Callithrix jacchus: one gene and its partners. The protein of the gene in region 1 interacts with the protein of each later gene in a pairwise test. Links are inferred from orthologs where the notes say so. Each region holds a gene or a part of one and is shown in the gene's direction. Other genes may lie near its edges.

Evidence for each region.
Region 2: the proteins of MEOX2 (region 1) and HAT1 interact in binary tests that used the Homo sapiens proteins (3 or more experiments, as listed by UniProt). The two-hybrid records come from large-scale screens. The link is inferred for Callithrix jacchus from reciprocal best matches to the Homo sapiens genes MEOX2 and HAT1.
Region 3: the proteins of MEOX2 (region 1) and CSF2 interact in binary tests that used the Homo sapiens proteins (3 or more experiments, as listed by UniProt). The two-hybrid records come from large-scale screens. The link is inferred for Callithrix jacchus from reciprocal best matches to the Homo sapiens genes MEOX2 and CSF2.
Region 4: the proteins of MEOX2 (region 1) and SMARCE1 interact in binary tests that used the Homo sapiens proteins (3 or more experiments, as listed by UniProt). The two-hybrid records come from large-scale screens. The link is inferred for Callithrix jacchus from reciprocal best matches to the Homo sapiens genes MEOX2 and SMARCE1.
Region 5: the proteins of MEOX2 (region 1) and PCSK5 interact in binary tests that used the Homo sapiens proteins (3 or more experiments, as listed by UniProt). The two-hybrid records come from large-scale screens. The link is inferred for Callithrix jacchus from reciprocal best matches to the Homo sapiens genes MEOX2 and PCSK5.
Region 6: the proteins of MEOX2 (region 1) and SHFL interact in binary tests that used the Homo sapiens proteins (3 or more experiments, as listed by UniProt). The two-hybrid records come from large-scale screens. The link is inferred for Callithrix jacchus from reciprocal best matches to the Homo sapiens genes MEOX2 and SHFL.
Region 7: the proteins of MEOX2 (region 1) and AIRIM interact in binary tests that used the Homo sapiens proteins (3 or more experiments, as listed by UniProt). The two-hybrid records come from large-scale screens. The link is inferred for Callithrix jacchus from reciprocal best matches to the Homo sapiens genes MEOX2 and AIRIM.

The regions. Positions count from the first base shown.
Region 1 is NC_133512.1:42,792,488-42,796,787, forward strand, and holds the start of MEOX2 (homeobox protein MOX-2), read left to right. Parts: upstream 1-1,500; 5' UTR 1,501-1,779; coding exon 1,780-2,293; exon of another isoform or gene 2,294-2,334; intron 2,335-4,300. UniProt on the Homo sapiens protein: Mesodermal transcription factor that plays a key role in somitogenesis and somitogenesis and limb muscle differentiation. Required during limb development for normal appendicular muscle formation and for the normal regulation of myogenic genes.
Region 2 is NC_133507.1:57,607,835-57,611,844, reverse strand, and holds the start of HAT1 (histone acetyltransferase type B catalytic subunit), read left to right. Parts: upstream 1-1,210; 5' UTR 1,211-1,289; coding exon 1,290-1,296; intron 1,297-1,707; exon of another isoform or gene 1,708-1,802; intron 1,803-4,010. UniProt on the Homo sapiens protein: Histone acetyltransferase that plays a role in different biological processes including cell cycle progression, glucose metabolism, histone production or DNA damage repair. Coordinates histone production and acetylation via H4 promoter binding.
Region 3 is NC_133503.1:76,378,993-76,383,045, reverse strand, and holds CSF2 (granulocyte-macrophage colony-stimulating factor), read left to right. Parts: upstream 1-1,370; 5' UTR 1,371-1,402; coding exon 1,403-1,561; intron 1,562-1,663; coding exon 1,664-1,705; intron 1,706-2,392; coding exon 2,393-2,518; intron 2,519-3,326; coding exon 3,327-3,434; 3' UTR 3,435-3,553; downstream 3,554-4,053. UniProt on the Homo sapiens protein: Cytokine that stimulates the growth and differentiation of hematopoietic precursor cells from various lineages, including granulocytes, macrophages, eosinophils and erythrocytes.
Region 4 is NC_133506.1:92,631,896-92,635,395, forward strand, and holds part of SMARCE1 (SWI/SNF-related matrix-associated actin-dependent regulator of chromatin subfamily E member 1), read left to right. Parts: intron 1-1,563; coding exon 1,564-1,644; intron 1,645-2,591; coding exon 2,592-2,723; intron 2,724-3,013; coding exon 3,014-3,185; intron 3,186-3,500. UniProt on the Homo sapiens protein: Involved in transcriptional activation and repression of select genes by chromatin remodeling (alteration of DNA-nucleosome topology).
Region 5 is NC_133502.1:85,654,769-85,659,064, forward strand, and holds the start of PCSK5 (proprotein convertase subtilisin/kexin type 5), read left to right. Parts: upstream 1-1,496; 5' UTR 1,497-2,007; coding exon 2,008-2,199; intron 2,200-2,518; exon of another isoform or gene 2,519-2,646; coding exon of another isoform or gene 2,647-2,724; intron 2,725-2,920; coding exon of another isoform or gene 2,921-3,036; intron 3,037-3,234; coding exon of another isoform or gene 3,235-3,705; intron 3,706-4,296. Other genes in the region: uncharacterized protein LOC144578083, read right to left, coding at 2,647-2,724, 2,921-3,036, 3,235-3,705. UniProt on the Homo sapiens protein: Serine endoprotease that processes various proproteins by cleavage at paired basic amino acids, recognizing the RXXX[KR]R consensus motif. Likely functions in the constitutive and regulated secretory pathways.
Region 6 is NC_133523.1:9,278,832-9,282,911, forward strand, and holds the start of SHFL (shiftless antiviral inhibitor of ribosomal frameshifting protein), read left to right. Parts: upstream 1-1,280; 5' UTR 1,281-1,391; coding exon 1,392-1,412; intron 1,413-1,884; coding exon 1,885-2,008; intron 2,009-2,204; coding exon 2,205-2,254; intron 2,255-3,973; coding exon 3,974-4,012; intron 4,013-4,080.
Region 7 is NC_133508.1:74,246,375-74,250,442, reverse strand, and holds the start of AIRIM (AFG2-interacting ribosome maturation factor), read left to right. Parts: upstream 1-1,268; 5' UTR 1,269-1,524; intron 1,525-1,940; exon of another isoform or gene 1,941-2,071; intron 2,072-2,984; exon of another isoform or gene 2,985-3,090; 5' UTR 3,091-3,195; exon of another isoform or gene 3,196-3,312; intron 3,313-3,617; 5' UTR 3,618-3,890; intron 3,891-4,008; exon of another isoform or gene 4,009-4,013; 5' UTR 4,014-4,016; coding exon 4,017-4,068. Other genes in the region: CDCA8 (borealin), read right to left, coding at 484-612, 738-831. UniProt on the Homo sapiens protein: Part of the 55LCC heterohexameric ATPase complex which is chromatin-associated and promotes replisome proteostasis to maintain replication fork progression and genome stability.

The DNA.
Region 1 (4,300 bases):
AAAGAAAAGATAGGCTTAAACAGGGGGACTGGAAGAGGAGAGGAAAGGTTCTGCTTTGGGGACACCTCTCAAAGATTAATCAATACTTTTTCCTAATTCAAACCAGATGTCTAGCCCAGTTTGCTGTACCCATTAATCCCATTAACAACTTCAAAGACCTGGTCACCATCCTCTGGACACCTGAGACAATGAAAATAACAGGGCGACACTGCTGGTGGTGCAGTCGGGGCTCCGGGTGGAATAGGTGACTACAGATATTCTCCTGATCCGACACGTCCCAGATCCGACGTGACTGTTCCTCCTGCTCATTAAAGCCCATTCACTTGTGTATAAACGACTGTGCCCCAGCGGATCTTGTCGCTCACCAAGCAAGTGGCAGTATCAAAGCCCTGCCCTCGCTCTCCCATGCTTACTGGAGGCAAGTTATCGAGTTTATTTTCAGGGATGCAAAGATGTAATCAAGCGCCCAAGCTTAGTGAATTCTTAGAGCTATCGAAATTTAAGATTTCTCAGTAAATGGAGCAGTGGTGTTAAGAGACACGATTAGTGGATTTATTTTTGAGCAGAAGAGTGGATTTCTAGAGGGAACTGAAGAGACCTGGGCTAGCTCCGGAGGGGAGAGGCTAGAAATGTGCATGCAAATCTACACATCTCATGTGACTGGGACAAAATCGCTTGGAAATAATTCTTGACCCAGGAAAATTTCTTCTTGGTGGACGAGTGGCTAGGAAATTGAGCGAGACCAGGAAAGCGGGGGGGAGGGAGACTCCACCGGGCATCGCACGTGAGGATGCCAGAGAGCAGGCATCTGCAATTCGCGCTTACCTCCCACCCACCCCACCAGGTCTTCCTTAGGTCTTCCTCTCAGGTCTTTCCGCACTGTGAACCACACTTTCCAGGCCATGGTGCACGTCCCCGAAACCTCAGACCTGGCGTCCCAGCCTCTTAACCACCACCCACAGAAACTAACTGCGAAAACCTAGGCGCGCGGCGGCGCCCTGGGCACGGGAAGATGCGAAGTTTGAAAAACTTCCAGAGTGCGCCAGGCTAGCTCTGATCTTTTCCTTTAACCCTATCACTTCTTTCGTGTTCCTCAAAGGCTAGGCGTATCCCTAGCTTTTCTGCAGGTGACAGTTCCCAAATGACACTGACAAGTTACGTTTTCCCAAGAGAAAAATTAGTAGGTGGGAAACAGGGTGCTGGGTTGGCGCTGGTGCGCGCCGCGCCCTGGCCTCCAGAGTCTGGAGGGCAGAGCCGCTGCCCTCCCGGGCGGGATTTAGACGCTGGCGCGCCGCTTGTAGTCCTGGTAGCTGGCAGGGCTAGGCGGGCGTGGACGCTCTGCGTCTGTCCAGCCGGCGATAGGAAGTGGAACTGGGAGCGCGTGGCGCAGACTGAGCGGGAGTTTTGGAGGGAGTTTGCATGTGGTCAACTCTGGGCTCCTAAGCCAGCCCCCAGCTCACGTTACAGTCTATTTATAACCTCTCAGAGCCATTTCCCCCTGAAGGCAGTTCACTGGGACCACCTTCTTTTGGCTTCAACCTCTCCCACTCTTGACATCTGAGTAGCTCAGGGAAGCTCTTCCAGGTCCGACTGTTCATATGTAAAGGAGACTGGCCGTTAGGGCTCAGGACCGGGATTATCCGAGCTCTGCAGAAGTGCACGGCTATTGCTTTGAGAGGGGTAAAAAACATCACACGGTTTCCAGTGAAAAGTGACAGAGGGTGGTGGCCTTTAGAACCGCCGTGAAGTCTTCTGCCTGGAACCCGAAACTTGCATGCTATGGAACACCCGCTCTTTGGCTGCCTGCGCAGCCCTCACGCCACGGCACAAGGCTTGCACCCGTTCTCCCAATCCTCTCTAGCCCTGCATGGAAGATCTGACCATATGTCTTACCCCGAGCTCTCTACTTCTTCCTCATCTTGCATAATCGCGGGATACCCCAACGAAGAGGGCATGTTTGCCAGCCAGCATCACAGGGGGCACCACCACCACCATCATCACCACCATCACCACCATCAGCAGCAGCAGCACCAGGCTCTGCAAACCAATTGGCACCTCCCGCAGATGTCCTCCCCACCGACTGCGGCTCGGCACAGCCTCTGCCTCCAGCCCGACTCCGGAGGACCCCCAGAGTTGGGGAGCAGCCCGCCTGTCCTGTGTTCCAACTCTTCCAGCTTGGGCTCCAGCACCCCGACCGGGGCCTCGTGCGCGCCAGGGGACTACGGTCGCCAGGCACTGTCACCTGCGGAGGCGGAGAAACGAAGCGGTGGCAAGAGGAAAAGCGACAGCTCAGGTAAGAGAGCGCCAGGCACCCTCGAGAGTGCGCGCCGGCCTGGAAAGGGGGCGGGGAGATGCCAGGGAAGAGTCTGGCCCTGGAGGGTGGCGGCGGGGAAGAGGGGAATGTGTTAAATTCGGCGGTGAAGCTTTGGTCCTGTTATTTGGGGGCACGTGTTTATCCGAGAGCAACACAGCTAGCAGCTCTAAGCTCTCCAAGGTCCTAAACTAGTTTACCAGAAGGTTGATAAAAAAGGACAAGTGGCTGTGAAATCGATTGCGAAGCGTGACCTTCCATCCCAGCGCGGGGGAGGGAGGGGCGTGTGCCCAGGGATGCCGCGTCCGTTGGGCAGGCGTGCGTGCGTGCGGGTGCTGCTTCTTGACTTTTCTCTTGCAAGTTCCCGACTCTGAGTGGCTTGACTTTTCCCATCGTAAACTGGATTTCCAAATTATTGCACAATATTTGGAACTTGCAATGGAACTTGGCAGAGCACATGAGAAAAAAAAAAAAGTTTTAGTTTTTTTTTTTTAAACATTCTTGTTTGAGAGTTCTTTAAATAGCACCCTATTTCAAATGGTAAAAATTTCCCCTTCTTAGGGAAGAAGATATTATCTAGGAATTCAGATTTTAAGGAATGTGTCAGAGAATTGTAAATAAATACATGCTCACGCTGGAAGAAAGACGAACCTTAATATAGTACATGTTCATGTTGTGTAAGTTAATTACAGAATCTAAATTTCAAGAGTGGAAAATAAATCCCTCTACCAAGTTGGTTTTAGCTGCGGCAAATACTGGGTAGCGAACAGCAACTTGGGTAGTGTCAGTTAGCTACGTGCCTGAAGGTCGTATGCAAGGGTGCGCAGGAAGCGCTGATTTCAGTGAGGATAATTTGAGCAGCCACGCAAAAGGGGAATCTTCCTGACCTCTGGTGCTTGAAGGCACAACTTGCAGAGTAAATTGTAGCAATCCAGAGAAACTCAAAGTTTTCCAGACAACTTTTCAAAGCTCTGACCTACTTCTATTATCATAAAATTGTTAAAAGATACTTTAAAATTGAGAGACTTGTGAGTTTTCTTTCGTGGCTATGGTGCACCCTGGCTTCCATCTTTTTGGAAGGTATTATTTGTTTAATATAATATTTGTATATTTTTCTTCCTCTGCGGAACTGGGTTAATAATAGTCCTAGAAGGTAATCCCATATATTGGTTTGAAGGATTGGAATGTTTATGCTTTTTAAAGCTTTAGGTGAGATGTCACATAAATGAAAATGATTGACCGCATGTTTAATATTCCTCTCCCCTTCGCAGCAATATCAATCGTTCTTCAGCGTTAGTATGGGATAGATTCTTCTGTCAGAAGAATAAAATAACTTTTATTTTCCAAGGATAGGGGATGAACTTTTAATGTTCAATCACAAATTAGTTTTTATAAGAAAGTTAGCAGTGGTGTCACTGATATTTACTGTATTTTCCTAACTATAAGTGAAACTCCCTTTAGATAGTGGAAGGTTAATCGTTGTAAGAAGGTTTCAATTTTTATTAGAAAAACCGTCGATTTTAGAATGCAGTGACAATTTTATAAACTGAACATTCGATATCAGTGTAACTTTTGAAAGAGATCCCAGTTCAGGCTGATGAGAGTACTCTTGCAATTCCCATAAGCCCTTACTGTTCATTTTATTTTTCTGCAATGAGAAACCTACATGATAGCCTTATGCTTCCGGAACTGAGCCACTGCCCTTAAGTTTCTTAGGGCAAACAATTTTCATGCAAGCACATGTTATTTTGTTTGGGGGAAACCAAGAAAATGGAATTCAATAACTGATTTCCTTAATTTATTTTAATAAAACTTTTTTTTTTAAAAAGGAATAATTTAATAACATTTGTCTCTTCCCCCAACTGTGTGGGAAATAGCCATTTAACAAAATTAAGTTCATTTCTACATGTTGAAGCTGATAATGAGGGTAATGGAAAAACAAACAAATATAAGTGTTTGTGTCAGCTGAATAAATTATGAATAAATTAA
Region 2 (4,010 bases), on another chromosome or scaffold:
TGATTTCCTCATCTCTAAAATGACAGGGCATGTTAGTTCCACATCATCATCCCAAGAGTCCATTTTTCTTTTTTTTTTTGAAACAGAATCTCACTCGATTTCCCAGGCTGGAGTGCAATGGCACGATCTTGGCTCACTACAACCTCCACCTCCCAGGTTCAAGTGATTCTCCTGCCTCATCCTCCCGAGCAGCTGAGATTACAGGCGCGCACCACCACGCCTGGCTAATTTTTGTAGAGACTGGGTTTCACCATGTTGGCCAGGCTGGTCCCCAACTCCTAACCTCGTGATCCGCCCTCCTCCGCCTCCCACAGGCTGGGATTACAGGTGTGAGCCACCATGCAGGGCCGCCAAGGGTCCATTTTAGCTTTAGCATGCATCACTATAAAACCTGTTAACAAATATTTGTTGGGATAAGGACTTCTGGTGTATAGACAACATTGTGGGAATATTTGTGGATACCTAAATAGTGGTTTATCCTCTGGGCGAAAGTGTTCCAACAGCTACTAAGTACTAACAAAGCCTATGGCTAAAATCAGGTAACACCTGTGATGTGATTCAAACCACTAGGACATGTGGCATGCAAGACTACATCAGGCCCCTTGAGGTATTTATTAGGTAACGACTTTTGTCCGTGCGCTAAACGGTTGCTTAGTAACCAGAAGAGTGAAAGCAGAGTACCTATCACACTGCATACTGTTAAAAACAAGGGAGAAAGGAAAAAAGATGTTAAAGTATACAGCAATACTAGAAACAAATTAGGAAAATAAGAAGTGAAAATTTCTCCCGCAACTGAAACTCAACCCTTGCATTTTACCTAGGTAAAATCTTACCTAGGGTAAAATTGCCCATAGGGCTCAGGTGTTTGGATGCACTGTCCAGGCCAAGAGGAAAGATTTTCATCCAGTCTCCAAAACATCTCAGGGACGGGTATAGAAAACAGGCGTAAAGTGTCTGTATTGTTCAAATCAATCCGAGAGAAACTTTCCTAGTGCCTGAGAGCATCTCAACAGCGAAGCTCCTATTTGCGGCCTCCTTCTCCACTTCAGGCAGGCAAAGCGGCTGACGGCATTCGCGGTGGCTAGGCAACGGCCCGCGCAGACTTCTCGGCGTTAGCCCCGCCTCTTCAAACGCTTCCGCCGCCGGGCTCCTGGATAAGCCTCCTTTCATTGGCTAACGTCACGCTGGGAGTGGGCGGGGGAAATGTGTCAGACTGTGCGGTCACTTCCGGCCCGGGAGCGCGCGGGTTGATTCGTCCTTCCTCAGCCGCGGGTGCTCGTATATCGGAAATGGCGGGTAAGTTCCCGGGAAAAGTTTACCAAGGGGAGGAGGCGGGAAGATCTGGAATAGAACGCCTTGACTGTGGTGACAGTGCCCGCCTGGAACTTTCGGGCTGTAGCCAGGGTTCCAGAAGGCCTGCTTGGGACCGGAAGCGTGGGACTCTCAGCTCGGCTCCCGGTCGGCCGCGCTCCGCGTCCCCGCCCCCAACTGCTTAGGGTTCTGCGCCTTTTGCTCGCAACCCGGCCCCTACCGACGGCCGAAGAGGCCGGGGGAAAGCGTCAAGATTTGGGCTTGTAAAATGCCACCTGCCTTGGGGCCTGTTTCTCTTCCCATTCCTTTTGTTCACTGCTGCTTGCTTCAGCTCTTCTACATCTGGTCCTGTTCCCGCCAGCTGATTTTAATGCTCAGATCCTCCTTCTCTTCCAGGTCTCCCTCTACCTTCCACTACAGTCAACTTCTGAGCTAGCACATTGCTGCCTTGCCCTGCTCTAGCGCTCCCAACTTGGACTTCGACTGACTTCGTAATCGTCTCCTTCATCTCGCACACTTTAGTATTCCCAGGATTTTATTTAGATGCCCTTGGAGAAAGTTGTTCCTGAACTCCTCCCTTGTCTAAACTTCTCTTTTAGGGTTGGACTACTGTAATACAGTTCCCTTGTGTACATTCTAGAGTCCCTTCAACTTATAACATTTAGTAACAGCAGTTATACTAGATGTTAAAATGTTACAATTGCCGTTATTTTGTATGTGTATTAGACTGTTTTGGTGTGATTATATTCTTTTATCGATTTTGAAGTTATGGACAGTTTCTTTTTCTGAGGTTGTCTCACTCTGTCGTCCAGGCTGGAGTACAGTGATCATAGTTCACTGCTGCCTCGAACTCCTAGGCTCAAGCGATCCTCTAGCTAGGACTACAGCCATGGGCCACAACATTCTGCTAAAAAAAACCAAAACCATTCTTTTTTAACCTTTTAGAGTCAGGGTCTTGCTGTATTGCCTCAGGCTGATCTGGAACTCTTTGCCTCAAGCCATATCCTCTCACCTCAGCCTCCCAAAGTGTGGGAATTACAGGCTTGAGCCACTTTGATGACTTCTGTTTCTTTTATCATCTCTTTACAGGGCATTCCTCGTAGTCTGTCTTCATTATTAACCATTCCATTTTTATGGATATGTTGGATAGACAAGCTGTTGTGTGAGCTCTATAGATGTTTTAAAGAGGACTTTTCTACCAGATGGAGATTGTAGGATCTTGAAGTACCACAAAAGAGGGAGGACATACTCTTAAGAATTACATCTAAATTCGAATTTTGGCCCTGTCATTTAGTAGTTGGATGCCCTTCAACTCAACCTCTTTCTAAGCCAGAACTTTTGAATATAAAATGGGGTTGATATAATACCTACTTATAGAATTGTGCAGATTAAGCTAATATATGATTTTGCAGGTTAAAATTTGTTGCTTAAATTCCTCGAAGTAAATTCTATAATCTCCGTTTTATAGATTAGGGTCAGAGGGGTAAAGCAGTGTGCTCTAGTTTACTGAGCTAATAAGTAATGGTGAAGCCTGGATTCGAATCCAGGAATTCTGACTCTAAACTATTACTCTGTACTCTTCGAGTCTTTCCCATTTTCTGTGTATGTGTGTTTTAACCTCTTTTTGAAGTTCATAGCACATTATTGTACTCCTTTTTACTTTTTGCTTATGGCTCTTCTCTGCCTGAATTTTTATTAATCTTTTATTTTTTGGGGGGACGTAGTAGTCTGGCTTTGTTGCTCAGGCTGGAGTGCAGTGGCACGATCTTGGCTCACTACAACCTTTGCCTCCCATATTCAAGCAATTCTCCTGCCTCAACCTCCTGAGTAGCTGGGACTACAGGTGCCCAGCTAATTTTTGTATTTTCAGTAGAGATGGCACTTCACCATGTTGGCCAGGATGGTCTTGATCTCTTGACCTCATGATCCCCCGTCTCGGCCCCCCAGAGTGCTGAGATTATAGGTGTGAGCCACTCTGTCCGGCCTATTTTTATTAATCTTTGTGTTCATTTTGTCAGGAGATTTGTTGTCTTGAAAGTTTCTCTTGATAGTGATACCTTCCAGTATTAGTTATTATATATATAGATGGCTAGCCACTTTGTAGTAAAACTATTTGATTGTACCAGTGGCTCACAGTTTATGACTTTAGGCACACATGATTTTTAAGAAATTTAATACAGTGGAAAGATGTTTTCTTTGTACCCCTATTCCGCTTCCTTCTTTTTTACCCAGGGTAACCATGGTTACCAGGTATTTGTGTGTATTATTCTTGAGACATTCCATACATCATCAGGTTTTTTTATTTTTTATTTTTTATTTTTATTTTTATTTGAGACGGAGTTTTGCTCGTTACCCAGGCTGAAGTGCAATGGCGCAATCTCTGCTCACCGCAACCTCTGCTTCCTGGGTTCAAGCAGTTCTCCTGCCTCAGCCTCCTGAGTAGCTGGGATTACAGGCTTGTGCCACCATGCCCAGCTAATTTTTTGTATTTTTAGTAGAGATGGGGTTTCACCATGTTGACCAGGATGGTCTCGATCTCTTGACCTCGTGATTCACCCGCCTTGGCCTCCCAAAGTGCTGGGATTACAGGCATGAGCCACTGCGCCTGGCCACATCATCAGTTTTTTTTATCTGAAGCTCTCTTGTAGACTTTTTCCAATATTTAAAATGAAATTCTATCATAATTATCAGAGGACATT
Region 3 (4,053 bases), on another chromosome or scaffold:
TGTTCTCGCTTGTGTCCGACCCCATTGGTTTCGGCTGAGTCAGCCTCTGGAGCCCAGAGGCACTGCACCCTGGGTGAGGAGCTTCTCCAGTATTAGGGGGCACCTTCAGAGGCCTGGAGCCTTTCACAAAGCAGGTAAGAGGACTCACACAAAGCAGGTAAGAGGACTCTCAGGTAAGATGCATCTGCACGAAAAACATTCTCTCCTCCACGACACACTTGTATGTACAGATGCAACCAATCACAGCAGCACACATACACCCAGAAATGGACACATGTGGGCCCACACCCCTTTAGCTATGAAACCCCAGGCATGGGTCAGCTTGAGCCAGATACCTTGTGCAAACACAAACTCGTGCTGTCTTCTCTGAACTCCATTGTGAAAATCAAACACTTGTCAGCCCCTTGAGCTTTTCAGAAGCAGTTCCTACTTCCACAGAAAGGCCTCTGGAGTTGGGGGCTGCTGGGGCTATGAAGGAGATTAAGCCTGGAAGACCTTGCTGAGAAAGCCATTGTCCCTGTACCTGCAACGGGTACAGCCACAGTCCTGAAGCCAGCCTGAAACTCCTGGTGCCTTCTGGGGGCTACATGTAGGTATGTAGAGCCCACCTCAGAGGGGTAACCTGCTCTGCAGAGGGAGTCAAGGCTCACATAACCAGAGAGAGGAGTCACTCAGCAAGGTGGCTCCAGAGCCAAGAGTCAGACTCTGGATCCTGACTTGGCCCAGCCCCACCCCCTCTAAAGCTTGCTGAGAGTGGCTGCAGTCTTGTGGCTGGATGTGCACATGGTGGTGATTCCCTCTGCTCACAGGGGCAGGGGTCCCCCTTACTGGACTGAGTTTTCCAGCTGCTCCGAGTCCTGGGTGGGAGTCTGTGTGAACCATCAAGGGGGAAGGTCTGTGAGAGCTCCCCTCACACGCAAGTCTTTCATAGTGGCCAGAGAAGAGGAAGGCTAGAGTCAGAATGAGGCACCAGGGTGGGCACGGCCTGCTGAAAGGCCCCTGGGATTATAGGCAGGATAAAGATCTCTATCTAAGTATCTCCTACACCCTACCCCAGCCATTCCAGGCCAGGAAGTCCAAGCTGTGCCCCTCAGAAGGAGGGGGCAGCCTCAGACCCATTCAGACTGCCCAGGGAAGGCTGGAGAGCCCTCAGGGAGGTGGGTGGGTGGGCTGTCGGTTCTTGGAAAGGTTCATTAATGAAAACCCCCGAGTCTGACCACCTGAGGAAAAGGCTCACCGTTCCCATGTGTGGCTGATAAGGGCCAGGAGATTCCACAGTTCAGGTAGTTCCCCCGCCTCCCTGGCGTTTTGTGGTCACCATTAATCATTTCCTCTGTGTATTTAAGAGCTCTTTTGCCAGTGAGCCCAGTACACAGAGAGAAAGGCTAAAGTTCTCAGGAGGATGTGGCTGCAGAACCTGCTGCTCTTGGGCACTGTGGCCGGCAGCATCTCTGCACCTACCCACTTGCCCAGCCCCGACACACAGCCCTCGAAGCATGTGAATGCCATCCAGGAGGCCCAGCGTCTCCTGAACCTGAGTAGAGACACTGCTCCTGAGACAGTAAGTGAGAGAGAGAGCATGGCCCTGTGCCTAGGCCACCCTGCTGGCCCTGGGCTGGCCATGCCTGTCAGCTTGATAACATGACATTTTCCTTTTCTACAGAATGAAACAGTAGAAGTGGTCTCAGAAATGTTTGACCGCCAGGTAAGATGCTTCTCTCTGACATAGCTTTCCAGAGCCCCTGCCCTGGGGTAGAGGTGGGGACTCTATTTTAGATGGCACCTCACAGGGTTGTCCACTTTCTCTCCAATCAACTGTCTGCCAGGAGGAGGGGGCAGCAAGAGCTGCCTTGGTGCTCAAGAGGCTGCTGGCCATGCCGCTGTGGCAGTCACATAAACTCCTTTATCAGCTGAGTGGCATGAGCAGACCTAGCATTCAAGGGCCAGGAGCCAGGGTACAGGTGGTAAAGTGAGGGTCACTTCATGAGATAGGAGCTGTGGGTTTGGGGTGCTCACCGTGCCCTGAGGCCAAGTCCTATTGAGACAGTGCTGACTACAGAGAGGCACAGAGGGGTTTCAGAAACAACCCTTGCCTACCCAGCAGGTTCAGGCAAGGCCCTGCCCACTCCCTGAATGATAGGGTGAGAGTGACCTCTTTCCCTAAGGCTGGGATCCTCTCCAGGTGCCGTTGAGGGTGGCCTGGGCTGGGTAGTGAGGAGGGCAAGTTCATGCCTACTGTGGACAGGGCAGGGTGTATGACTGGACCCAGGCTGTGCCCCTCCCAAACCCTACTCCTGGGAGCTGGGGATGGCAGCAGAAAGGAGTGGCGGAGAGTTCCTGTGCCACTGCAGGCCCTTGGCCATTGCTCACCGAGGAACGACATTTCCCACAGGAGCCGACCTGCCTACAGACCCGCCTGGAGCTGTACAAGGAAAGCCTGTGGGGTAGCCTCACCAAGCTCAAGGGACTCTTGACCATGATAGCCAGCCACTACAAGCAGCACTGCCCCCCAACCCTGGTGAGTGCATATGGCAGAGCCCCCAGCAGGAAGGTCTTAGTCTAGGGGGGTGGGGTCCACATGAGGAGAGACCTCTGGCTGTGGCTGTTCAGGACCTCAAGGGGTTTCCGTGCCAACAGCTATGTAACGATTAGCCCTCCAGAGAGGAGGCAGATGGCCCATTTCATCCTAAGGAGTCAGAGCCATGAAGCACTAAAGCCCACAGTGCTCCCCAGCAGGAGCTGCTTCTATTCTGGTCATTATTGTTATTATGGTTAATGAGGTCAGAGGTTAGGCAAACCCAAGGAAATTCGGGGCCTGCCCAAGGGCCAGAGGAAGTGCCCTGGCCCAAGTGCCACCTGCTGGCAGGACTTTCCCCTGGCCTCATATAGGTGCCTGAATTGTACAGAATCAAGGGAGGGAGGCAAGCTAGAATGGACAAGGGCCTCAGGCACTCCTTCCTGCGGGAAGGGAGCAAAGTCTGTGGCCTTGCCTCCGCTCCTTCTGGGTTCCTGGAGACGGCCTCAGCCCAGCTGCCCTGTCCTGCCCTGTCCTGAGATCAAAAAGGCAGGCGTTTGACTGCCCAGAAGACCAACCTCAGGCTGGCACTTAAGTCAGGCCCTTGGCTCCAGGTGCCACTTACAGAGCTGTGCACTCCTTGGGGAACACGTGGGTGGCAGCAGCGTCACCTGACTCAGGTCAGTGGTAGGTCTTGGAGTGGGCCTCCTGGCCTCTGAGTTCTGAGAGGCAGCACAGAAGCATGCTGGTGTTTCCCCCACGTTACCCACTTGCCTGGACTCAAGTGTTTTTTATTTTCCTTTTTTTAAAGGAAACTTCCTGTGCAACCAAGATTATCACCTTTGAAAGTTTCAAAGAGAACCTGAAGGACTTTCTGCTTGCCATCCCTGTTGACTGCTGGGATCCAGTCCAGGAGTGAGGCCGGCCAGATGAGGCTGGCCAGCCTGGGGAGCTGCTTTCTCATGAAACAAGAACTAGAAACTCAGAATGGTCATCTTGGAGGGACCAAGGGACCAGCCATTGTGGGGGTGGCCCGGACCTGCCCTAGGCCACACTGACCCTGATACAGGAATGGCAGAGGAACGGGACTATTTTATACTGGCAGAAATTAGTAATATTTATTTATATATTTATATTTTTTAAATATTTATTTATTTAAGTTCATACTCCATATTTATTCAAGATGTTTTACCGTAATAATTATTAAAAAAATATGCTTCTATTTGTGCAGTGTTCTAGTTTGTTTTCAACCATGAGCAAATGCCAGTGGTGCCTGCCTCCCATGAGGCAAGGAAGGGAGGAAACGGGGAGGTGGGAAGGGGATGGAGGCCTGCCAGGGGTTGGGCACTATCTGAAGGGCAACACTGTCAGAGCAGAGGGGAGGTGAGAGCCCGGCATGGGTGCTGAATTCTGCCACCTGGACAGGCTTCCCTGGATGCTCCGGGGCTCCCACCCCAGAGAATGGCTCTCAAGTTTACCTGGAAGTCCAAGTGACCAACCCAGGGAAATCTTGTCCCAGAGAAGGGTATCACCCTTCC
Region 4 (3,500 bases), on another chromosome or scaffold:
TCTGTTGCCCACTGCTGGCTGAAAACAGGATCTGTCTACCTGGGCACTAGCATGAGGTGTGGTAAGAATGCATGGGAGGAATGGAAAGAGAGGAATACTGCTCCCAAGCCAAAATGCTTTCTAATAACTTCATATATGAAGTAGAGTTACAGGGAAGGAGAGAGACCCTTGTAGGAAGAGGAAACGTTTCTTGATCATAGTGGAAAGGGACACAAACATGCCCATCCCAGATCCCTCAAATGCAAAATAAGGTTATAATTGGGGTCCCAGCCCAGAGTGGAGGAGTATCTCTGGGGTTTTATCACAGCAGCAACAGAAGAGGAAGCGAACAAAATGTCACTTTAGTTTTCTTACAAGGATTTGCCAATCCTGTCTTTTGATAATTAGTATAAAGCCATCGCTTTTTTCCCGCCTACCAGGGAGAGTCAGTATCAGAGATCTCCTGAAAATTTGCAGATTGTCTGAAATAGCAATGCTTTTTCTTATCCTGGGTCTTTAATCAAATGCAGTCATGCATATTAAGGGGAGACTAAAAAGTTGAAATAGATAGTTGTTGGTTGTTATCTGGGTGACCTACAAGAAGCTCTCTGGAATCTCACCTAGACCTTAGACCAGAGGAAAAACTGATCACTTCTCTTTCTCTTTCCTTCTTCCTATTTCTTCTCTCACTTATTTTTGCTTTACCTTACTAAAAAATATTTTTCAGTCTTACCTCCCCCTCCTTTTCTCCTGTCTCCGTTTTCCTGCATATCCTATCTTTCCTTTTCTTTTGTCTTTCCCATAAAACCAAAGATTTTTAATGGAATGGAGCTTGTCAATATAAGACCTCAAAAATAACATAATCAGGCCCCATATCTGCCACTTCTCTGTTCCTGATAAACTTGTTTGCTTTTACACTGATTAGGCCTAAGGACAAAGAAAAGTGTGACTTGAGTTCACACTTCTCATTCCCCTTTATAAGAAAACCACTAGGTAACAGACAGAACCTTAAGAGAAATAAAATCTCTAGCCTGGCAAAGGAGGTAAGGTGGTTTGTTATTTCACAAATTGTTTTTGTTTTTGAACCTGGGAAGTTGTTTTTGTGGTGGTATTGTTGGGAGTGCATTCCTAACATAGTGCTAATAGGTACTAAGGCTCCTATAGACAGTGTGAGAATGGTAAGTGCTAAGGGTTCAGATCCTGCTACAGATAATCAAGTGTTGACTGTATGTGTAACGGTAATTGAGCAGAATCAGAGGGTGCCAGGTAAAGTCCTGAATGTGAGACGGTTGATATATAATCATATATTTTCAATGTATGGGTTATCATGTAATATTTTATTTGTTCTTACAGCCAGGTTGTCAAAGTATTGACAGTAAACTGCTAAGCAAAACATTTAAAAATTGTGTGCTTAAAGTCATTTTCTTTTGAAATTTCTGAATTTGCAGTAATAGCTATTTTCAGTGGAGAAAATATTTGGACGAGTAGAAGAAAGGCGCATTAGAATTTTTTAAGGAACTCTCTTTTCAGTTTGCCGGTGAACTCCTTATAGTTGAATAATTGATGTATTTAACTCTTTTGTAGGCATCCTCTGGTATTACGATTCCAAAACCCCCAAAGCCACCAGATAAGCCGCTGATGCCCTACATGAGGTACAGCAGAAAGGTAGGCGCTTAGGACCTGGAAAGGAGCGAGGACACTGTCTTTGCCTCTTCTTCACTTTACATCCAATTTTAGATTGGCTTAGCCAGCTTTTCTGTGCATATTCAGAGGAAAGGACCAAAAAACTACAGTTTTTAAAACAATTAGTTCTGATATCAAAATTCCAGAACAAAATCCAACAAGAGGAGCATGATTAAATAAACTTTTAAAATCCTTAGGACAGAATGTTCTGTAGCCATTAAAGTCATGTCTTTTGTAGAATATTTAATGACATGAGGAATATGTTAAGTGAAGGAGAAATACAAGACTATATGAATTAATCTTATTTTTATAAACATAATAGCAACCACATGTTAGTTTGAAGGGGGAAAACACAGAAGACAATGATTCTCTCTAAGCAGTAAGCTTATAGTAGTTTTTATTTTCTTTATATTTCCTCAGATTTCCCCTATTTTTTTTTTTTGGTGATGAACCTACATTCCTCTTAAAATAAAAAATATCGCCAATATCTTTATTAAAAGGCAGAGCCTTTTAACCACTATCCAGAAATTTTAAACCTTTTGGTCTTGACTATTATATATGTATTTAAAAATATGATGTATTGTGCTATGCAAATTAAGCATTTTCTTCTAAATTCACATGAACTTTCAGAGACACAGCCTATGTTGTTGAAGTAATTCATCTTAAGCATCTGTAGTGATTAGAGATATTCTTGTCTATCAAATTGAAGTATTTATAAGTGAATGGCATGATGTCTGAGATCTATCTTAATCCAGTAGGGCAAAGATGACATGAGATTGGCCAGCCATTGATAATTGTTGAAGTAGGCTGATGAGTACATAGAAATTTGATCCTGTTTTCTCTGCTTTTTATGTTTAAAAGTTTCCATATTTTTTAGTGTCTGTACATTTAGACATCAGTATTGACATTTCACCTGTTTTCTTTTTAAGGTCTGGGACCAAGTAAAGGCTTCCAACCCTGACCTAAAGTTGTGGGAGATTGGCAAGATTATTGGTGGCATGTGGCGAGATCTCACTGATGAAGAAAAACAAGAATATTTAAACGAATACGAAGCAGAAAAGGTAGAGTAGGGGATCACAGTGGGATAGATAATGTGTAAAGTACATAAACATTGGCTTACTCTTTATAAAGGAAACATAAGATTTGGTCAGAAGGCTGATGCTGTACTGAGGCTCTGTCTACCTAAGTCAAGTCAACTTCTCAAGGCCTCCGATTTCTTGTCTGTAAAAAGAGATAATTATCCCAGCACTCTGCTTACGTCATAACTTTTGATAGTCAAATAAGATAACATAAGTCTGCATTGTAACCTGCAAAATGTTAATTATAAAACCAAAAAACATTTGAATTTCAGATAGAGTACAATGAATCTATGAAGGCCTATCATAATTCCCCCGCGTACCTTGCTTACATAAATGCAAAAAGTCGTGCAGAAGCTGCTTTAGAGGAAGAAAGTCGACAGAGACAGTCTCGCATGGAGAAAGGAGAACCGTACATGAGCATTCAGCCTGCTGAAGATCCAGATGGTAAAAGAAAAAAGTGGGGTTTTGTTTCTGCTTTCTCTGAGAGTTACTAAGATATGAGAAATCTCCTAAGTTTTTATTTCTTGTCCTAAATGGAAAAGAAAGCATAATTCAAGTATCATCTCAGTATTTTGGTTATATTAAGATTTGTATATGAATTTCCCACAAGAAAAAGAAATAATCTTTTTCAGTGTAGAAAATAGCAAAAATTATTTATTGTTTATCAGAATCTTTGTACTCAAAATGTATGAAAGGTTTTTAAGTCACAATTAGGATTTTGCCTCATCTGCTTTTAAAAAGCAAAATGCATTCTAATTA
Region 5 (4,296 bases), on another chromosome or scaffold:
GCTGAGAGTGTATTAAATACAGTAATAAACCACATTTACTCTAGAGTAGTCACAGATTCTGAATTCCACTAATTTTTTGTGTCCCCCCTTCCCCTTTCTCCAGTGCTCAGCACAATTCATAACACATGCTAGGTGCTCCAAACAGATGTGTTGAATCAGTCAAATAAATAAACGAATAAAATAACATACCCTTCTGCACATGTTTTAGTTCTTCTGATCTTCTATTTCTTATCTATAATGTGGGGATAATTTTATTTCGTGGGTTTGTTTTCAAGATGAAATAATATAGCATACCTTATACAATGTGTAAAATGTCAAATGCTATGACCAGAGGTACTAGTGGAATTTTAAGTCTGCAGGTATGTTTCAGATTAAAAAAAAAAAAAATCAGTACCAAAAGCTATAGGTGGAAGGAGTTAATTAATCTCAAACACATTTAGGAAGAAAGAAATAGTGCATGGTAGTAGGAGAGAAAGGACAGTTAGGGATATAGCGAACACTTTTAAGGTCAGTTGAATTACTTCGTAAGAGGTAATTTTTCTTGTCACAATAAATCACTCTGTGTCCCACCCCCGCTCCAAGAAGGCAGGGAGGTTGTAAAGGAGAAGCAAGAGGAGGGTTAATTTGGGCTCCCTCCTGCCTGCTGCAGTAATGAAGGTGACGCGGCCACATATTTCATCTGAACTTCTCCTGTGGTCTTTTTTATATTAAAGTCTTTCACTGTTACAGGACTGTGCTTGGAAAAGTTGGAAAACTTTTCCCTTGGTGGAGGAAAAGACGCCCTCGTCAGACGTAATCCAACAAATGAATGGAGTTATTCCTTTGGCCCAACATCTCCATCCACTAGTATACCAGATATTCATAGAAACATGTTTCCTCACTTCCAAGGCCGGAATTTTACTCTCCCTTGGCGTTGCCTAGTATCGGATGCGCTGATTTCGAAAGTGAGCAGGCAACGGACTTGGCTTTCGAGCCACGGTTGTTGGCTTTCCTAGGAGTCGATGCGACTTACCGTCCTGTGTTGTGTGGTAACTTCTCCCAGGAGCAGAATGTGTAAAATAAACAGTTGCTGAAAAGCATGAAGAATTAACGAAGTGAAAATCTCGGGTTATTTGTTCGGCAATTGAAACGCAAGGGACCTCCTTAAATGCCTAGTTGTTTAAGGACATTTAGAGCGAGGATGAATGAATCTTCAGGGTGCTTAACTCACACCGGCGTGTAAATGTCTTTAGTCTTTCGGGAAGTGGCGGTACATTTAGACAAATCCAGCAGGGAGGTAAAAAGGAGGGTAAAACCACGGCCTCGGAGCTCTGTTCGCAGCGCTGTGGAAAGACTTGCAGCTGGGAGAACCCGGAGGCGCTAGGACCTGGTGGGCGCCCCGGTTGCGGCCGCTTTCAGGAGGGCGGAGGAGGGAGAGGAGGAGGGGGATGTGGGAAAGGAGGGGTGTTAAGGGGGGCGGGGGAAGTCATTTATGCAGAGCAGGAGCTGCTGCCATTGCCACTCAGAATCCTCGCGCGCTGCTCGGAGCCGGAGGGAGCGCAGGGAGCAAGTAAGCGAGCGCTCGGAGCCTGGGCCAGCAGAGGGGGCGCCCGGTCGCTGCCTGCACCGCTCTCACTGGCTGTCTCCGCCGCGCTCGGGGGCCCCCGGAGAAACGAGAGCGAGTCGGAGAGTCCGGGAGCCGAGCCCGGCGAAGCCCAACTGCGGAGGACGCCCGCCCCACTCAGCCGCCTCCTGCGCCCGAGCCGGGGAGCATCGCCGAGCGCTCCACGGGCCTGAGCTGGGAGCACAGGTCCTCGCGGCCCCAGGGATGGTCTAGGAGCCGGCGCGAGGCTCGCTGCTCTGCTCCCTGCCGGGGCTTACCGCCTCCTACCGGTCGCCCGGGGCTGCGAGCTGCGGCGGCCACGGGCTGTGCGCCGGGCGGCCCAGGCCGGAGAAGTTAGTTGTGCGCGCCCTTAGTGCGCTGAGCCAGCCAGCCAGCGAGCTAGGGAGCAGCGAGGCGCCGGGACTATGGGCTGGGGGAGCCGCTGCTGCTGCCCAGGACGCCTGGACCTGCTGTGCGTGCTGGCGCTGCTCGGGGGCTGCCTGCTCCCCGTGTGCAGGACGCGCGTCTACACCAACCACTGGGCGGTCAAAATCGCCGGGGGCTTCCCGGAGGCCGACCGCATCGCCAGCAAGTACGGATTCATCAACATAGGACAGGTAATGGACTACAGGCTGGCCCAGCCCTAGGCCCTGAAGCCACTGGGGGCTTCTTGTCCCCTCTGCGTGGAACTCCCTCCCCCTCTTCCAGATGTGTTCTAGCAGCTGTTGCCCTAACTCTTGGGCGATGCTCTGTCTCCCGCGCGCGGGCGCGCGGACACACACACACACACACCCCAAAGTTGCCGGGTCCGTGTTTTGTTTACTTGTCTTTTGCAAGCCACGCGGGACTGGTAGAGTCTTGAGAAAAATCCATAGTGCCTCCGTGGTGGTTTCAGAGACGGCTGGACCTTTTGACACAAAAAGTCGAGTAACACTAAAAATCCGAGGCAAAGTCTCAGAGGGTGATCGTGGGGAGAGGGGGAAATGAGGTCTTTTGGGGGATAGGGGGTGAGCGCGCCTCTGATGCCGACGGGGAGGGAAAGCCTTTCCTGCTCAGACCTGAATTTAGCCCAGAAAGAAGTTTCCTCTTCTTGGGCGAGAGAACCGCTGGCGCTGGAGAAGCCGGAGGCGCGGGGACTGGAGCTGCAAGGGAGGAAAAAAGAGGGGAGGGAAGAGGGGGCGGGACCCTGTGTGAGCGCAGATTTAGGGGAGACCTCTAGGCTTCTTTGCCTTAAGCGAGGTCCGCTTGGGGGCTCCCGGAGGGGAGTTGGAGTGAGGAGGTGGGAAACTTCCGAAACCTGTTGACTGGGTTCCGCTCCGGGAAAGCAAGGAGTCTTACCCCGGACGGAAGGTGCCAGGCCTGGAGGCTGCGCTGTGGGGCGAGAGTTGGGCAGGCAGCAGGGGCGCGGGGTTTTTGTGGGGTGTCACTTGCGGGGTTTTGGCAGAGCTTCGATGCTAGGGAGAAATGCCGATAAACTAAGGTGATGCTATGAGGACGATTGGAAGTGTAACGGATTTGGAAGTACTCCGGATTCAGTGGTCTTGGCTTCCTAGTTCTCTTCCCCCCACACCCCTGTGAGAAATGGGGGTAGAGAGGGCTATGAAAGTGGGTCCCAGAAAGTACCCCCCCCCCACACGCACGCACATACACACCGCAAGTATCTTTGGGGCTGGCCGGAGGAGCGTTCCCTGGCTGGGCTCTGGCGAGAATCCGCCGGAATGGGAGGTGATGGATGGCGCCTTTCCAGGAGGCGCGCTTTGGGGGACTGCCTGGGGTGCACGCACCCCTCGCACGTGCTCTGCCAGGGGGAAGGGAGAGGGAGGTGCTGGCTGGTGCCAGTGGAGTGGTAGAGTACGGACAGTTTCTGAGGCCACTGCGTTCCACGCCCAGGAACCCGGGGACACCCCCTACTCCCCGCTGCCTGGGGAATGCGGCGCCTGGCGAGGAGGCAGAGCTGCCGTCGCTGCATCTAGAAGGAGCTGGGGAGCGCGGGAGTGTTCCGAGGAGCAGGAGCACAAGATCTTGCTCTTTGCCCGCCCAGAGGGAGGACTCATTCCAGAGAAGCCAGCCCTGTGGAGAACTGAGACTAGGGCAAGGGGCACGGTTTGTATTCCCTCCCGCCCCTGGAAGTGAGGAAGTAAGGGAAGCCAGCCAGATTTTGTTGCTTGAGTGCCTGTTGTCTGCGGAAGATTTCCATTCTAAAGGCTTGTTGGGATTCTACTGGCTTCTTTTTCTCTGGAAGAAAGCACCGAGTCCGTTCAGGTCTTGTTACATGAACTTAAAGTTGGGCACTGCCTATGCCCTGAAAGTAGCTAGTAGTATTAATCATCTCGGGTTCTGCTAATACTGAACATCTCACACCTGCCAGGCATTTTTGAAAGAATAGATTCTTGAACGTACCCTTCTTTCCTAATCTCAAAACAACCTTGTTTGGCAAATGTCACCTCACATACAGGAGATGAGGAAACAGACCAGCTGGACAGTGGCAAAGCCATGATTCAGATCTGGGACTCTGACGGTTGCAAGCCCACTCTCCCTTGGATCCTGCCTTTAGGGAACCCTTCCATCCTATAGGTGAAGGCGGAAGTAAGTAAAAAATCTCCATTTCCCTGAATTCTGATTTTCCAGTAGACTAGAAGCAAATATCTGGTCTCAATTCACAGATATTTAGTTCAAACAAACCAAGATTTCTTGACTTGAAGAACAAGGGCAGA
Region 6 (4,080 bases), on another chromosome or scaffold:
GCCATGATCAAGCCACTGCACTCCAGCCTGGCCAACAGAGCAAGACCTTGTCTCAAAAGATAATAAATAAACAAACAAACAAACATCCATCTGCGGGTGGAGCTTTAACAGTTTTACCTATAGGGGTGTCCAATGGAGAAAAAAAACTGGAGTCGTTGAACACAATGCTATTTTGCCACTCAGAGAGCATCTGGCAGTCTCTGGAGACATATTTGGTAGTCACCATGGGGAGAGTGGGGAGCCATTGGCATCTAGTGGGTGGAGCCCAGGGATGCTGTTAAATGTTCCCCATAACAGGACAGTCCCCCACACAAAGAACTAGGCAGCCCAAAATGTCAAGCGTGCTGGGCTTAAGAAACCCTTGCCCGAGCGCCCCAGACTTAGTCTTGCTTTGGGGGCTCCGCAGGCTGCTTCATCTCCCCACTCTATTCCTCCCCCAGACCTCCAATTCCAGTGACGCTGTACAAAGCATCCCCTCCTCCAACGAGGCAGCCATCTCTGATGTCCCCAGGCTGGGCCAGAGCCCCACCACTCTAGGGCTACCAGATGCATCCTGTACAAGGTTCGAATTGTCCCGGCCCACCGCGTTCTCAACCATGGCAGATTCCCTGGATCCCTGAGACAGCCGGATTCTACCGGGTTACTAGAGACCAAGAATCTGTATTTTTCTCAAGCACCGCTCCCCGCACCACACACACACACACTGCCTGCCCCATCAAGGGCACACAGCAGGTGGCCCAGTGCTAGTGGAGCGCCTACTGCAAGCCAGGCGCTATTACGCGATCCACTCGGGAATCTTGGCACAGGCTCCACTCCATGGTGTAGAAACCAGGATCTTCCCCATTTCACAGAGCAGTAAACTGAGGCTCAAAGAAGTGACCGTAGCGGGACAGAGACTCAGGGCAGGAAAAGGGCCCAGGTCCTCAGAAGCTCCAGATTCCCGGGGGAGGAGGGAGGACAGAGGAGGGTGATGGACTGGGGGAGCGCGCGCTGGGTGGGGGGGCGCGGGGCTTCGCCGCGGCCTTCCGATGCAGCCCCGCCCCCACGAGGGACGTGAAGACGCGGACCCCGCGCAGCGTGGGGACATGTGACCGACTGCAGAGGCCGCGCCGCCTCCCCCGCCCGAGGTCTGCGCGCTCCGCCGCAGGGTGCAGACCCGGGGCTCCCGCCTGGGTTTGGGGCGCAAGAGCAAAGGCGGAGCCAGGGCGGAGCCAGCGCGCCCGGTCCCCCCCGAACCGAAAGCGAAACAGGGGCCGGGGAGGAAGGGCGGAGCCGGCCCCGAGGCACCGCCCCCTGCCCTGCGCGGCTGCTGGACCGACGGGCGCGCCCAGGTAGGGGGGCGGCTGAGCCGCGCAGTGCGGACCCTCGCGGGGACCTGCGCCGCCGCCACCATGTCTCAGGAAGGTGTGGAGGTAGGAGATGGCTACGGCTGGTCCGGGGGGGAGCCGCGACAGAGCCCGAGGAGCGGCCAGGAGGCGCGGAAGGGGCTTCGCAGTTCCTGGGGACCCCCATCCTAGAACCCCAGATCCTTACCCCTGCCTTGCGCTCGCCCCCCTTGAAAAGGAAAGTGACTCCCACGTTTCCCCAGAGCAAAATGAGGCCTCCCTGAGGAAAAGCGGGGGCTGCAGGGTCAAAGGTCAGAGGCCAGAGATAACCTGGCCGACCCCCCACCTTAGGCTGGGACGCTCGCCCCGGCCCGCGCCCTCCCCCAACGCCCTGTGGGGACTTTGGCTTTTTCCAGGAAATGCCGTAGAGGGATGGGGGGGGGGCGGCGGAGGCCAAAACCAAGGGTCAAGTTCAGGCCGGGAGAACGGTGCCTAGTAATGGGGGAGGGAAGATCGCGCGTCCCCTTCCCCCAGCGGAGCCCCCGTGTCCCCATCCCAGCTGGAGAAGAGCGTCCGGCGCCTCCGGGAGAAGTTTCATGGGAAGGTATCCTCCAAGAAGGCGGGGGCTCTGATGAGGAAATTCGGCAGCGACCACACGGGAGTGGGGCGCTCCATCGTGTACGGTGAGGCTGAGGGGGCCCGGGCCTGGTGCGGGGACCGCGCGTGGGATCGCCGAGGGGGCGTGGTGTAGGGAGAGGCGTTGAGATCACCTCCCCTGGAGATCCCAGCTTGGGGGAGGCTCTGCGTCGCGGTTCTGGGTGGCCTGGAACTCCCACAGACCCTTCAAAGGCCCTTCCCTTATGCGCACTCTCCCCGCAGGGGTAAAGCAAAAAGATGGCCAAGAACTGAGTAACGGCCTGGATGCCCAGGTAACCCTTCCCCTCTCAAAGGACTGGGTCACGGGAGGGAGAGCAAGAGGGGGCCCGACCCGTTCATGGGGACCCTCCTCTGAAACAGCAGGGACCAGGCATTGTCGTCTGCAACTCATGCCCAATCTTACTCACTTTTTCACCTCTCCATCGTTTGCGAGACCAGGGAGCCTGCAAACAGTAGGCGCTCATTATGTGCTGATTGTATTCAATGGGAGAGAGAGAGCCATGAAACTAGGCAATGAAAGGAGCCAGGATTATTGCCATGGTAGGGGAGCCCCAGAGGTCAGAGAAGGCTTCCTGGAGGAGGAGGTACCACGTCTTAAAGGATGGGGTGTAGTGAGCCCTAGGAGGGGAAGCCAGGGGTCTTGGGGTGGGGGAGGGAATGGTATGAGCAAAGACTGGAAGTGGGGAAGGGTTGTTAGTGGCAGTCCCTAAAAAGGCTGCGATGAGCAGGGGATTGGGGAGGAGAGAGAGGTGGGGAAATGGAACCCTTGTGTTGAGTGAGTGAGTGAGTGAGTGAATGAATGAATGAATGAATGGTTTTGAAGCACAGGTTCAACGCGGCTACTTTGCTTCTTGGAGAGCTTTGGTGATGGGAACGCTGTGGATTTCATCTGCCTGAAAGGCTCAGTGTAGGGCTGTAAAAGAGTATAATAAAATATGCATCATAGTCCACATTTACACATGTAAAAGTATGATAAAAATATAGCAGAGGGGCCGGGTGCAGTGGCTCATGCCTGTAATCCCAGCACTTTGGGAGGTAGAGGCAGGCAGATCACTTGACGTCAGGAGTTCGAGATTAGCCTGGCTAACATGGTGAAACCCCGTATCTGCTAAAAACACAAAAAATTAGCTGGGTGTGGTGGTGCATGCCTGCAATCACAGCTACTTGGGAGGCTGAGGCAGGAGAATCACTTGAATCCGAGAGGCGGAGGTTGCAGTGAGCCGAGATCGTGCCATTGCTCTCCAGCCTGGGCGACAAGAGCAAAAAACTCCATCTCAAAAATAAAATAATAATAACAATAACAGAGGGTAGCATTGATTGAGTACTTCCCACATGGCGAGACTCCAGGAATTGATTTATTTCATCACCACAGTGACCCAGGAGACAGGTCCTATTATTTATCATCCCCATTTCATAGACAAAGAAACTGAGGCTTAAGTCACTTGCCAGGTTCTCGAGGCAAGCAGGTGGCAGCTGAGATTTGAACCCTGGCCACCTGGAGTCAGAGCCTGAGCTCTGACATGCCTGTCAGTCAGTGGGAACCCAGGGGGCAGGGAGTGGCTTGCCCAAGTCCCCACAACTGGAAGTGATAGAGTTAGGATTCAAACCTGAATCTCAACCCAGATTCCCACCACTTATCTCTGGCACAGTGTGGCGTCAAAGGGGTGATGCATCACAACACCAACAAGCATGTAGCATTTGCAGGCAGGAAGTGAGTATGGGAGTCAGGCTGGCTTCACTCAGGCAAGTCCTCCACTAAGCCTCAGTTTCTCCAGTGCAGCAATAATGTCACAGGTGTGCCCACTTCTCAGGGCTGTTATGAGGACAACTGAGACCACACACCTGGCTCTCAGTAAGTGGGCAGTGCTCTGTGAGTTCCTGGCGAGTTAGGGGCACCCCATTTTCCTTGTAGCCAGGCCTCTACCCCAGCAAACAGATGGAAAGAGGCCTGAGCCCCATCCCCCATTTCTGCCCCTGCTATCTCCACCCAGGACCCACCAGAAGATATGAAACAGGACCGGGACATTGAGGTGAGTTGGTGGCTGTGGCTAGGGATGGGGAAGTGGGGAGGAGGACATCTGCAGGCACAGAAGCATGT
Region 7 (4,068 bases), on another chromosome or scaffold:
TACTTGAACCTGGGAGGTGGAAGTTGCAGTGAGCCAAGATCGCGCCACTGCACTGCACTCCAGCCTGGATGATAGACTGAGGCTCTGTCTAAAAAATAAATTAAAAAAAATACTATTTCCTGATGTGGAAAAATTATGTGAAATTCACATTTCAGTGTATCCGTAACTAAAATTTTATTGCAATACAGCCCATCCATGCCCATTCACTACAGCTGTTTTGGAACTGTATCACATATCACAGAGTTGAGTAGTCTGACAGAGACCCCCATCGACCCCCGCACCAGTGGACTAAAATATTTGCTAGCTAGACCTTTAGAGAAAAGCATGGAGAAAAATGAAGTAGGGAAGTGAGACAGAGAGTGAAGGGGAACAGTAGGTCTGCCATTTTCCATAAGTGCTCATGTCAGATCTCATTAAAAGGTGACATCCGAGCGAGCCCTTTCTGAAGGGTGTCACCTAACCCCAAGGGGCTGCAGCTCTTACCGAAGTAGTCGAGCCAGTTCATCTCGCGCAGCGCCTTGGGGAGTCGCAGGATCTCGATGTTGTACAGGTTATCCACCTCCTTGAGGAGGTTCTGCCTGTCTGACTCAATCTGCTTGATTCGTATTTCCACTGCGGGAGGGCAGAGCCGACGGGACACGGGTCACGGGGCGGGTGAATAGGTGCTGCTCGTGTCCCCACCCGCCAGCATCCCGCGACTGCCCCAGGAAGCCGCGACTGCCCGGCCCCTTCCTTACCTTCACGGTCGAAGTCTTTCAGAAAGGAGGCGAGCTTCCGCTTCCGTAAGGAGTTGGTTTTGGCCACCCGACTGCTGCCCTTCCTAGGAGCCATGGCGCTCGGCGGAGGCTGCGGGTAGCGGCAGAGATGGGGCAGGGAGGCAAGGAACCGGGTAGGCACGAGAAAGGCGGACAAATGCCACCCGAAGAAGTCGCCAGGCACGTACCTGCAGTCCCGAGACAAGGGCTGATCAAAACCTCCCGGTGCCTGTGAGAAAGCGGCTCTACCGCCAACCGCCACCCAATTCAAACTCCACGGCCACAGGCTGACGAATGAGAAGCCGCCGTCCCACAACATCCAATCACAAGCAAGTTCTTGCCGGCCCGGGGTCTCCAGCCCAATGCGCCCTCTACAGCCTGAGTACGTCAGCGCGGCCACCGCCGTCGCGAGTGCTCCTGGGAGTTGTGGTTCAAGATAGTTTCCCCGCCCTCTCCACGCCCACCCGGCTCCGCCCTGGCCAGCTGCAAACGATATTAACTACTATTCCCGGCAGGCCTTGCGACGGCACCTCGACACTGTAAGCTCTGGAGGGCTGAGGGCCGACCAGGACGACGGGGGCCCGCTTGGAAGCCGGGAATCCCAGCACTTTAGGAGGCTGCTTCTTTCTGGCCTGGTTGCAGCTGAGTAGCCGAGGGCCGCCGTGACCCACTGATTGACTGACTACTGACTGGCTGTCTGTCTACCTCTGCGCTCCTCAGGGCCCCAAGCACCCCAGGCCGAACTTCGGAAAAGTGGAGGGAACTTCGGGCAAGTGGAGGGTCGGCGGAGACACAGCAGCCCCACTCAGCAGTGTTTGGAAGGGGGCGGGGGGTGCAGGCTTTGGGGTGGGCGCGCCAGCCCGGCCAGTCTGGGCAGCGAGTGGGGGGAACCCTCTCGTTCCTCGGTCGCCCGCGGGCTGGACCCTCCTGCCCAGTTAACATCTCGGCGCCTCGACTGGGTGCGGAGTGCGGGGTCGCGACTTCAGGTGCAGTAGTGGCGCTTGGCAGCTGGCTGTCCGGTGACTGCAGTAGGAGCCGCGGCCGCTAGACTCCAGGGAGCCCAAGGCAGGAGGCAGCCCTGGGTGTCGAGGCCGTGGGCCTGGGAATGGACGTGTAGACGGCGAGCCCGGCCGAGCCGCGGTACAGTCGGAGGTGCTAACTGTGTATCTTGGCATCTGTCCACAGCCACAGGGTTGGATTGATCGGGGGTTGTGCTGAGGCCCAGCAAGGCTAGAGGCTAGTCTTGAAGTCTCCAGGGATCAGAGCGATAGCTCAGGCTGAGTCTCAAGGCGGGTGGCAGCCGGACAGCCAGACTGGTGAGCTCTTGATGGGTTTGTGGTATGATTGGATTTGGTGCTTTTCACCTGTGGATGCGGTCTGAAGCCATGTCAGAGGGGTTGTGTTTGTGTTTAAGTGTGCATTTTATAGACTGTAGGGGTGATAATCTTCCCTCTCCCCCTCTGAGTTCAGGAACAATCGAGGAAATAAGCAAAGGTGCCAAGCAGGCTCCTGATAGGCACCAGCGAGCTTGGAGACACAGCAGGTGGAACATAGGAGCCCTGGCAAGCCTGGCCCTTCCTCTTGCCAGGGAGAGTCCTTTCTCTCCCTTCCAGCCTGTCCTGTTGCTCCATATGCAACAAGTATTTGAATGTCACTCTTCCGCCCGAGGTCAGCCCTGGGCAGTGGGTGATGGGGGTGACACTCCAGTCTGCTGGGTGCCTGAGAATCTTCATCAGGCAGATGGCCAAGATGAGAGGGGATGACAACCGGTACCTCATGCAGGCTCCCCCCAGCAGGTGTTTTTATGCTGGGCAAGTCTGGCTTCCAGCCTCTTGGTTTCAGCGCTTCTCTCACTCCACTCCCCAATGCGCCCGACTTCCCTGGGCACCTAGGACATCACCCTGCATCTTAGCTAGAGCTGCCACGTCAGGAGCCCCTGATTCACTAGTTTTTGCCAGTTGGCTGTGCCACAAACATTGTGAAATGTGTCATTAAGACATAGCCGGAGGCGCAAGCTTAGAGGAAGTGACTCTTAGCTAATAGGATGTGGTAACACCGCCACTAATTTAAACTGCTGCAGGCTGACAAATGAGAAGTTGCCGTGTTGGGACGGCTGCAACATCCCAAGGAAACTTCAAGCCAAGTGGCCAATCCACATGTGGGACTACAGTACCCAGAAGTCATTGTGGCAACACGATATATTTTCGCGACGCAGTAGCCCTGCAGGCTAGAGGAGCTTTGGGAGATGTTCGTGTTTGAGCACATGCAGACAGACTACGGGTGCGTGTGCAGGTCTGGAGTGTTCTCACACTTTGGCTGTCTCTGCTGGTTTCAGGAAGGCAACCGGCAGCCTCGGGCAGGGGAGACTGGCCTCTGGGTTAGAGAATAGACGGCGCTTGGATGCTGGGAATCCTCTGAAGTAGGAGAGTGCCCTATCCAGGTAACCCTTCCCGAGGGAAAGCCAGGATCTCCTTCACAAAGCTGAGGCAGGGCCTGACGCGGTGGCTCAATCCTGTAATCCCAGCACTTTGGGAGGCCGAGGCGGGCGGTTCAGGAGTTCAAGACCAGTCTGGCCACCATGGCGAAATCTCGTCTCTACTAAAAATACAAAAATTAGCTGGGCATGGTGGCAGGCACCTGTATTTATTTATTTGTTTGTTTGTTTGTTTATTTATTTATTTTGAGATGGAGTTTCGCTCGTTACCCAGGCTGGAGTGCAATGGCGCGATCTCGGCTCACTGCAACCTCCGCCTCCTGGGTTCAGGCAATTCTCCTGCCTCAGCCTCCCAAGTAGCTAGGATTACAGGCACGTACCACCATGCCCAGCTAATTTTTTTTTTTTTTTTTTTTTTGTATCTTTAGTAGAGACAGGGTTTCACCATTTTGACCAGGATGGTCTTGATCGGTTGACCTCGTGATCCACCCGCCTCGGCCTCCCAAAGTGCTGGGATTACAGGCGTGAGCTACTGTGCCCGGCCGGCAGGCACCTGTAATCCCAGCTACTCTGAAGGCTGAGGCAGGAGAATCGCTTGAACTTGGAAGGTGGAGGTTGCAGTGAGCCGAGATCGTGCCACTGCACTCCAGCCTGGGAGATGGAGTGAGACTCCATCTAAAAAAAAGAAGCCACTTCTGGAGGTGAGACAACTCCTGTCCAAACACGAGCATGGAGATGACCGCCCACCCTCGACCCAGTGCCTCCCCGACTGACTTGGCATCCCTACATGGTTATTTTCTTTATGTTTTTATCTTTTTCAACAGAAGATGACTCAAGACCAGCCTCTGGTTGCCGTGCAGGAGGCCCTGAAGAAGTGCT